Linked DNA regions of Ovis aries. The protein of the gene in region 1 purifies or fractionates together with the protein of each later gene. This does not show direct contact. Links are inferred from orthologs where the notes say so. Each region holds a gene or a part of one and is shown on either strand. Other genes may lie near its edges. The genes, in order: ARHGAP17 and CAPZB.

Region 1 (3,808 bases):
AAACGCAGAGCCCAGGTCTTCTGTGTGATAAGAGACACCCTGAAACACCGCATACGCTTGGCTGCATCATAGCCATGATCACCACTGTATATGTGATCCGGGATCTTAGTGTGACTCCCGCAGGCAAGAGTACGGAGTGGGAAAATGCAGGCCTGTCCCCAGACAACTGAAAACCAGCATTCTGAGACATCACTGGTCACTGACTTACATCATACTTGTCAGCACAGACTAAGGAGTGACAGCCGAGTTAGGGTAACTTTTCTTCCTGGGTGATCACTGCCACACTCCTCAGCCAGAGCCTGGTGGATCTTATTTTTGCCTTTGTACTTAAATGTCTTATCCTTTCAATATAATTGAATTGCCCTGACTCAACCTGCAGAAATTGGAGGCTGCCCTGGGGAGATGGTTTAACTTTGTCAACTTCTTTTGCAGAACGCTTGCTGAGATGGCAGCTGCCACTTCCGTCCACGTGGTTGCGGTCATCGAACCCATCATCCAGCACGCCAACTGGTTCTTCCCTGAAGGTGACTGCTGCTCCGATTTCACTGACACACGGATACACAGCAGTAGTATAAACAATCTTTCTTTGTTGTTTATCTTTGAAGTTTTCATTGTGGTAGAATACACATAACATGAAATTACCGTTTAAAGTGTACAATTCAGAGGGATTAACTGCATTCCCAGTGTTGTGCAACCATCATCATCTATTTCCAAAGCTTCTTCATCATTCCAAACTGAAACTCTCTGCCCACTGAATGATAAGTAGACATTATCTCTGCCCCTCAGTCCCTGGTAACTGTTAATACTATCCTACTTTCTGTCTCTGGGAGCTGGTGATGGACAGGGAAGCCTGGCGTGCTACCGTCCTTGGGGTCACAAAGAGTCAGACATAGCTGAGCAGCTGAACTTTCTGTCTCTGTGAATTTGCCTGTTCTGTGCATGTCCTATAAGTAGAATCATAGAGTGTTTAACCCTTTGTGTCTGGTCTATTTCATTTAGCATAACAGTTTCAAGGGTCATTCATCCATGTTGTAGCATGTGTCAGAATTTCATTCCGTTTAAAAAATCTGAATAATATTCCTTCTATGTATAAACAGCATTTTGTTTATCTGTTAGCCGATTGGTGGGCATTTAGGCTGTTTGCACCTTTTTGACTATTGGTAATTGGCTGCTCTAAACATTGGTATACGAGTATCTGTTTAATTCCCAGATTTCAGTTATTTTGGGTACATATCCAGGAGGGGAATTGCTGAGCTATATGAGAATTCTATGTATAAACAATCTTTTTAAGGAAGCAAATGCATAAGTAATCCCATCACATTGCCTTTGCTTTTTCACGCTTCTTTTTAGTCCCTTGGCATTCCTGTTTTCACGCGATGGTAACCGCACTGTTGGGTATTTCACTTTGTTTCACGGCACCCGGAGTCACCCACTTAGCCAGTGTATGTTGAGTACTCGCTAGGTGCACGTGTTTGCTCGTAAGACGTGCTGTCTTCCCTGGAGAAGGAGACCTGATCATCAGAGAAACTCTGACACACAACACATTTGAAGGAAGGTGGAGGGAGGATTTGACAGACTCAGGTGTCGAGCACGAAGGGCCAGGAATGGCCCGGTAGATGAGGTGGCGCTGACATGCAGGGATCCTCAGGGGTGCGGGGCCCCCTTTCGGGTACTGGCTGGGAGTCCGGCCCTCCCGCCCCAGCTTTGACCGGAGCGGCCCAGCTGGCACCCTCCGGAGTGTAAGCTCCCTGAAGCCTGGTCAAGCACATCTCTTCTCCTCTGTCTTTGTTCTTCATGGGCATCTTTCTTCTCATCTGTCTCTTCCCCTGAGTTCCCGCCATCCAGAATCACACCCCGCTCACGTAAGCATGCATAGTGAATATGTGATAGATAGGTGATAATTGGCATTCTGCCCAGGGTTTCCTTTTTTCTCTTTTTTGGAGGGGGTCAGTGTTTATTGAGGTATAATTTGCATAAATTAACAACTTATGCAAGACTGTACAATGTAATGATTTTTAACAAATATATCCAGTGTGTACCTACCACAACGATTATATAGACTATTTCCATCATTCCCGAGAATTCTTTCGTGATCCTTTTCAGTCATTCCCTTCATTCAGCCTGTGGCCATCACTCATCTGCTTTCCATGTCTACACTCTGCCTTTTAAAATTTTTATATAAATAAGAGTATGGAGTGTAGTCTTTTGTATCTGGCTTCTTTCATTTAGCATCGTGCTTTTCAATAAGTTCGTTCGCTCAGTCATGTCTGACTCTTTGCAACCCCACGGACTGCAGCACCCCAGGCTCCCTGATCATGCTTTTGAGAGCCAAGATTTCTTTTGAGAAAACGAGTCTTCAGAACCTGCTGTAGACAGTATGAAGTTGATGCCACTCTTTTTATCTACTTAATATCAAGCTGTACATATCTTAGTTTTTTCTACTTCCAATAAGTAGTCATCCATGCTCAGTATCCTCTTCCATATTCCATGATTTTTTTTTTTTTTTTTTAAGAAAAGAAAAAGCAGGGGAATTGTGTAACTTGGATTCTGAATCATACCCCTCCCCTAGCTCTAGTTTTCTTAACTTACCCCCCGCCTTGGTTTGGTAAACTCTCCTTAAGAAGATGAGATGCCTGGGGCTTTCACTTGTGAAATAGTGAGGGCTCGTGGATGAAAGAAGGAGTCTCCTATCCCAGTGGGGTGTCCCTCCAGCTCCCTTGACCTCTGTGTGCTGTGTCTCATGTACACGTTTCTTTTTCTCCCGGCAGAGGTGGAATTTAATGTGTCAGAAGCGTTTGTACCTCTCACCACCCCGAATTCCAATCACTCATCCCACACTGGAAATGACCCGGTCGACTCGGGGACCCTGGAGAGGAAGCGGCCTGCCAGCATGGCGGTGATGGAGGGGGACCTGGTGAAGAAGGAGAGGTGCGTTCAGAGCTGTGGATCTTCACGGTAGTGGGAGCTGGCACAGGGGAGAGGTGGTGGACCCGTGGTCCCTGGTCCTGCCTCAGTGGACCAGCGACTCAGTGTGCACCCAGGCCTGTTAGAGTCTAGACAGTTTCAGGAGCTCGGCTCTAGTTCATTGCAAACATTAATCTGCCTCCAGAGTAGGTGTGTAGCCGCCAGTTAACATTCATATCTGATGCATCCAAGCTTTGCTTGGTGGTCTGTGATGAGCCCTACACAGTAGCATCGCACACATGTTACGAATTCACCTAAATGTACTTGACTGGAGAAAAAGAAAAAAAAAAGAGTTAAATATTGAGGATGTCTGTCCAGGAGTGAATGTGAGAACAACCCACCTCTCCTGGTGATCTGTGTGAGTTGGTGTCTAAAGACACACGTTTTTAGTATAACTTGGTTCCTCGTTGGATGCCAACCATAGCAGCCTCAGTTTTTGCCAGTTCTGGAAGAAAAAAAAAAACTGTGTCGGACTTCTCCTTGGGTGATCTGTGGGGTTTTCAAAGTTATTAAGACTATTTGTGATTTCTGCCTTCAGATGCCAATCTGTCCAACATGTATGCTGAAATGCTACTGTGTCTGCTAGTAATGCTGAGTTAGGAGTCGCATGCTTTTCTCATGTACATGCAATAATCTTACTAGAAATAGTTTTACATTAAAACTAAACAACAAGCTCTTATTCTAACTGCCCGCTCTTAAAGTGAGGTCTGTTTTTTTGTTTTGCCTTTTTGTTGTTTGTTCGTTTTTAAAACCCATGGCAAAGGAAAAGGCTTTACTTTCCTGTTCTGTCACTCTGGAGGCCACATTTATTATGTGCAGAAGCTTCACTCCTCTGAACCCACAT
Region 2 (4,061 bases), on another chromosome or scaffold:
CTGCCACCCCGAGCTCTGTGACCTTAGAGCAGGGACTCCTCTCGGGGGCATCCCACCCGTCCAGGAGCTGGGTGGGGGCCCGAGGCAGGGAGGATGGGGTCTGAGTCTCGTCGCTACCCCGCGAGTCCAGGGGCTCGTGGCCTGGCCTGGCCTTGGCCCCCGGCCCTGCAGGCCCCCTGTGGACAGACCCCTCTAGGCCGGGCAGTGGCAGGAAGTGGCCTGGGGTGGCCCTAGTTTGAGTCCGCCTAGGGGAGGCAGTTCAGTCTCTCTCAGACAGCTGTAAGGGTGGTGCCCGCTCTGGACTTGCCTTTCTGATTCCCTGTCTGTGGGGAGCCTGGTCTAGCCCCTGGCTTTACTCCCCTGCTCACCCCACGCAGCATTGCTTTCCTCCGGCTGTTGAGCCCGGGGCCTGGGGAGTCCTCTCTGCTCAGAGCTTCCCGGCCTGGGGCCCCTGCGTCATCAGACACACCAGACACGCCCGTCAGCCTGCACCATCCCGGGCAACGGCTGGAGAACCAAGGGGAGCCGCAGAGAGCCTGCCGGGGCTGGGCGGGCCCCCGAGAGCCACAGCCACCCCCCCCGAGCCCCGCGGCCCTGACGCCCACAGCCCTGAGCGGCTGCGCCCCAGGGACACCCCCTCTCCTGCCCACGGCCCCCGCTTCCTCCGCGCTGGGGCTCCTCCACGGCCCTCACTCTGCGCGCTCTCTGTAGATCTGTTGACGTTATCCCCGACAACCCCAAGTTCCTGCAGCTGCAGAGGGAGCTTTCCCAAGTGCTGACGCAGCGCCAGATCCACATCCAGCCCGATAACTAAGCCGCTCCAGGTACCCTGCCTGAGAGGCCTGAGCGCCGCCCCACTAAACAGGACTCACCAGCCCGCCGAGACCCTGCCAGCCCCTTAAACACCACTAACCCGTGTCCGCTCGGCCAGGAGCCGCCCCGTAACTGCCGACTTCGCCCTGCGTAACAGGGCCCGAATCACGTGTGCAGTGTGTGTGCTTGGCACTCCGGGCAGGGCTGCGTGTGGGGCAGGCCCTGCAGGCCAGGGTCACGGTCACCCACGCCGCTCCCAGGGGCTGCCTGCTTCACCGGAGGCTGGGGCGGCCTCTCTGTCTGCTCTGTGTGCAGCCGGAGCTTTGCCACCTTTCCACCAAGGACCCCAGAAGCTCAAAAAGATCCCTTTTCGGGGGACAGTTGCCTGGGTCAGCTGATCTGAGGTGTACTGCCCTGAGTCTAAGAGAGAGACGCAGAGCTGGGTCTCTTAAGAGCCCTCTGCCGGTTGCCCAGTCGTCTCCGACTCTGCGACCCCGTGGATTGTAGCCTGTCAGGCTCCTCTGTCCATGGAATTCTCCAGGCAAGAATACTGGAGTGGGTGAAGATTCCCTCCTCCGGGGGATCTTCCTGACCCAGGGATGGAGCCCAGCTCTCCCACACTGCAGGCAGATTTTTAATGTCTGAGCCACCAGGGAAGCCCGGAGTGGGGCTGTAATGTCTGAGCCAGGCCTGGTGCCCCCAGACCAGGTGCCCCTGGAGCCGCCGGGACCAGCACCGCCGTCCGCCCCCGATGAGCTGCACCCATCCTCCTAAATGCCTTACGCTTGACAGAGGGGAAAGTCTTGCTTGTGGACGACACCCAAGAACACGACTTGAGCATGTGATGGGTACGGATGTGTAAAAGCCGGCAGCACCCCCAGAGAGGAGGGGGGAAGCCGAGCTGAGCAGGGCTGCAGAGCCCGGGAGTAGGGGCTTCCTCCCAGGCCCGGGAGCTGGACACGGGGCCCCAGCCCAGAAGAGGCTCGGGGGGCTTGCTCGGGCGGCGGCCCTTGTGCAGCCAGGGGGCTCCTCTGCTGTGGCTGCAGCCGCCGGGCCTGGGTGCGCCGGCGCCGGGCCTGGGCTGTCCCCCTGCCTTCAGAAGCGCACCATACAGCGCGGCTCTCCCCAGGCCCTCCGCCTCCGGGGCGGGTCTAGGGTCTTCTGGACCCCTCCCCTTGGCCAGGCCCTGTGGGGGTATGGGACCCCCGCGCCCCCTCCCCTGCTGCCCAGCCTGGCAACTCCTCTCTGAGACACACACACACAGCCTCCTGCCGACACTGGTTCCTGGTGGCTTGGCCATGACCTTCCTGAGCTCCTTTCCCTGAACAAGCGCTCTCCCTTCCCACCTCCAGCTGCTCTGGCCTAACCTGTCCCTTACCGGTCCTCCGTCTGGACATTTCTCCTTGTCGGGGGTGGGGGTGGGGGTGCTGGGTGCAGCCCAGGCCTGGCGTGCCTCTCCCGGAGGAGCCAGCACAGCTCCAGCCAGGAGGCCGTGGGAGCTGCCGCAGAGCAAAGCGAGCTCTCAGAAGCGTGTGTCCCACAGCATCAGCCGAAATGCCAGCATTTCTCATGGGAGGCTTTTTAGCTGTACACAGACTCTCTGAGAGTCTTGTCTCTGCCACCCTCTTTACCTTCTGAGGGCGCTTCCCATGGTGTTCCCAGGACTCAGTAGCCAGCATTCCATATGGATGCTCCTGGTCCTACCTCATTGTACTTAAGCCCCGTTTGGCACTGGCTGAGGGGTTATTGTCTGGTCTCTGCTTCCTGTGCGGCTTCACAGCCAGCGCATGTCAAGCTTGAGGTTCCTGTGGCTCCACCATGGTCCTGCCAGGCAGCCTGCCGCCCTTGCTCTCCACTGCCTTGAGACTGCTATAAAGGCTGTACATAGTTTAACAAGCCCCCAGTTAGCCTGTACATTGGGGAGCCTTGACCAGGGTCCCTAAGGTCATTGCCAGCAGCATTTCTCAGAGCCTCAGTTTCCTCATCTGTAAATTGGGACTAATGCTCGGACTCCTCTGCGATGCTTGTGAGAGTGAAGTGTGCTTGGGAATCACTTACAAACAGCAGATGACACGGTGTCCACAAAGCTTAGCTGTTGCTCACCTTGTCTAACCCCTGCGTCTGCGCACTCACATGAGCGTTTCCCCACAAATCCAGGAGTTGGCGCGGAAGCCACTTGTGGTTCAGGCCCATGTTGTGACGTGTGCCCAGAGTCCAGGTCACAGCCAGCCTGGGGCAGGGCTGGGCTGTGGCCTCCCCTGCAGGGCCGGGTGAGGTGCTGAGGGGCCAGCCTCCGGCTCTGGGCCCCTCCGCACCCTCCGACCTTCCCGCACGGCTTGCAGCTCTGCTCCTAGAGGCGACGTGGGTGGAGGGGCGCCCGGCCCCCCCAACCCCGGACGCACCGCATGGCAGCTCTCTCCCTCTTTTCCTTTCCTCTTCTGCCTGCTCATGATGATTCTTCCCCACCCCCCTCCACCCCACAGGTCTGTGCAGACTTTTGCAGACAAATCAAAACAAGAAGCTCTTAAGAACGACCTGGTGGAGGCTTTGAAGAGAAAGCAGCAGTGTTAAAAGCCTCTGCTCCCCACTGACCGGAGACGCCGTGCGCTGTCAGGCTCCTTTCTTAGACACTCGTTTCCTGCTCCCTGCCTCGTCCCTTCCCTCCCCGACAGGCCACACAACAACTCGCATCGCCACCGCAGCGCCATCTCTCCCGAGAATAAACCCGGTAAACACCCCTGGTCTCGGAGACCTCCTTCCCCCACCACGTTTTGCTATCACAACTCGGTATTCCCATAGAGACCGCGTTTTCTGTCCGTCCCGGCCCCCCCCCCCCCCATTTATCGGCATAAAAATACACTGTCTGTCTGCCTCCCTCCCCTCCCACCTTTTTGTTACATTGGTGTAAAAAATGTAAAACAAAAAAATTTTATGAAATAACTGTGGTGTGTGAAAGATAGAAGAAAAACTGGAAATCTGATTCCACGTGTGTTTGGGAGTTGCTTGGGGCTGGGGGCCGGCGGGGGACAGGGGACAGCTCTGGGAGAAAGGAGAGGTGGCCCTCAGCTCGGCCCGCGGTGGGGGCGGGGCCTGCGGGCCGCCCTGCTCCTCTCGCCAGGTGCTTTTCTGTCAATTTTTATGGAATGCAAAAGGAGTTTTTGTTTTATTTTGTTTTTTTGTAAAGCTTAAAAAAAATCTACATCTTATACTTGAGCTTCCATACTTAAAAAAAAAAAGAGAGAAAAAAA

What was found.
Region 2: the proteins of ARHGAP17 (region 1) and CAPZB purify together in Homo sapiens (affinity purification with mass spectrometry; 3 studies listed by BioGRID and IntAct, with this or other methods). This does not show direct contact. The link is inferred for Ovis aries from reciprocal best matches to the Homo sapiens genes ARHGAP17 and CAPZB.

The regions. Positions count from the first base shown.
Region 1 is NC_056077.1:23,131,668-23,135,475, reverse strand, and holds part of ARHGAP17 (rho GTPase-activating protein 17), read left to right. Parts: intron 1-432; coding exon 433-524; intron 525-2,768; coding exon 2,769-2,928; intron 2,929-3,808. UniProt on the Homo sapiens protein: Rho GTPase-activating protein involved in the maintenance of tight junction by regulating the activity of CDC42, thereby playing a central role in apical polarity of epithelial cells.
Region 2 is NC_056055.1:247,028,004-247,032,064, forward strand, and holds the end of CAPZB (F-actin-capping protein subunit beta), read left to right. Parts: intron 1-711; coding exon 712-814; 3' UTR 815-824; intron 825-3,296; coding exon of another isoform or gene 3,297-3,384; 3' UTR 3,385-3,409; downstream 3,410-4,061. UniProt on the Homo sapiens protein: F-actin-capping proteins bind in a Ca(2+)-independent manner to the fast growing ends of actin filaments (barbed end) thereby blocking the exchange of subunits at these ends.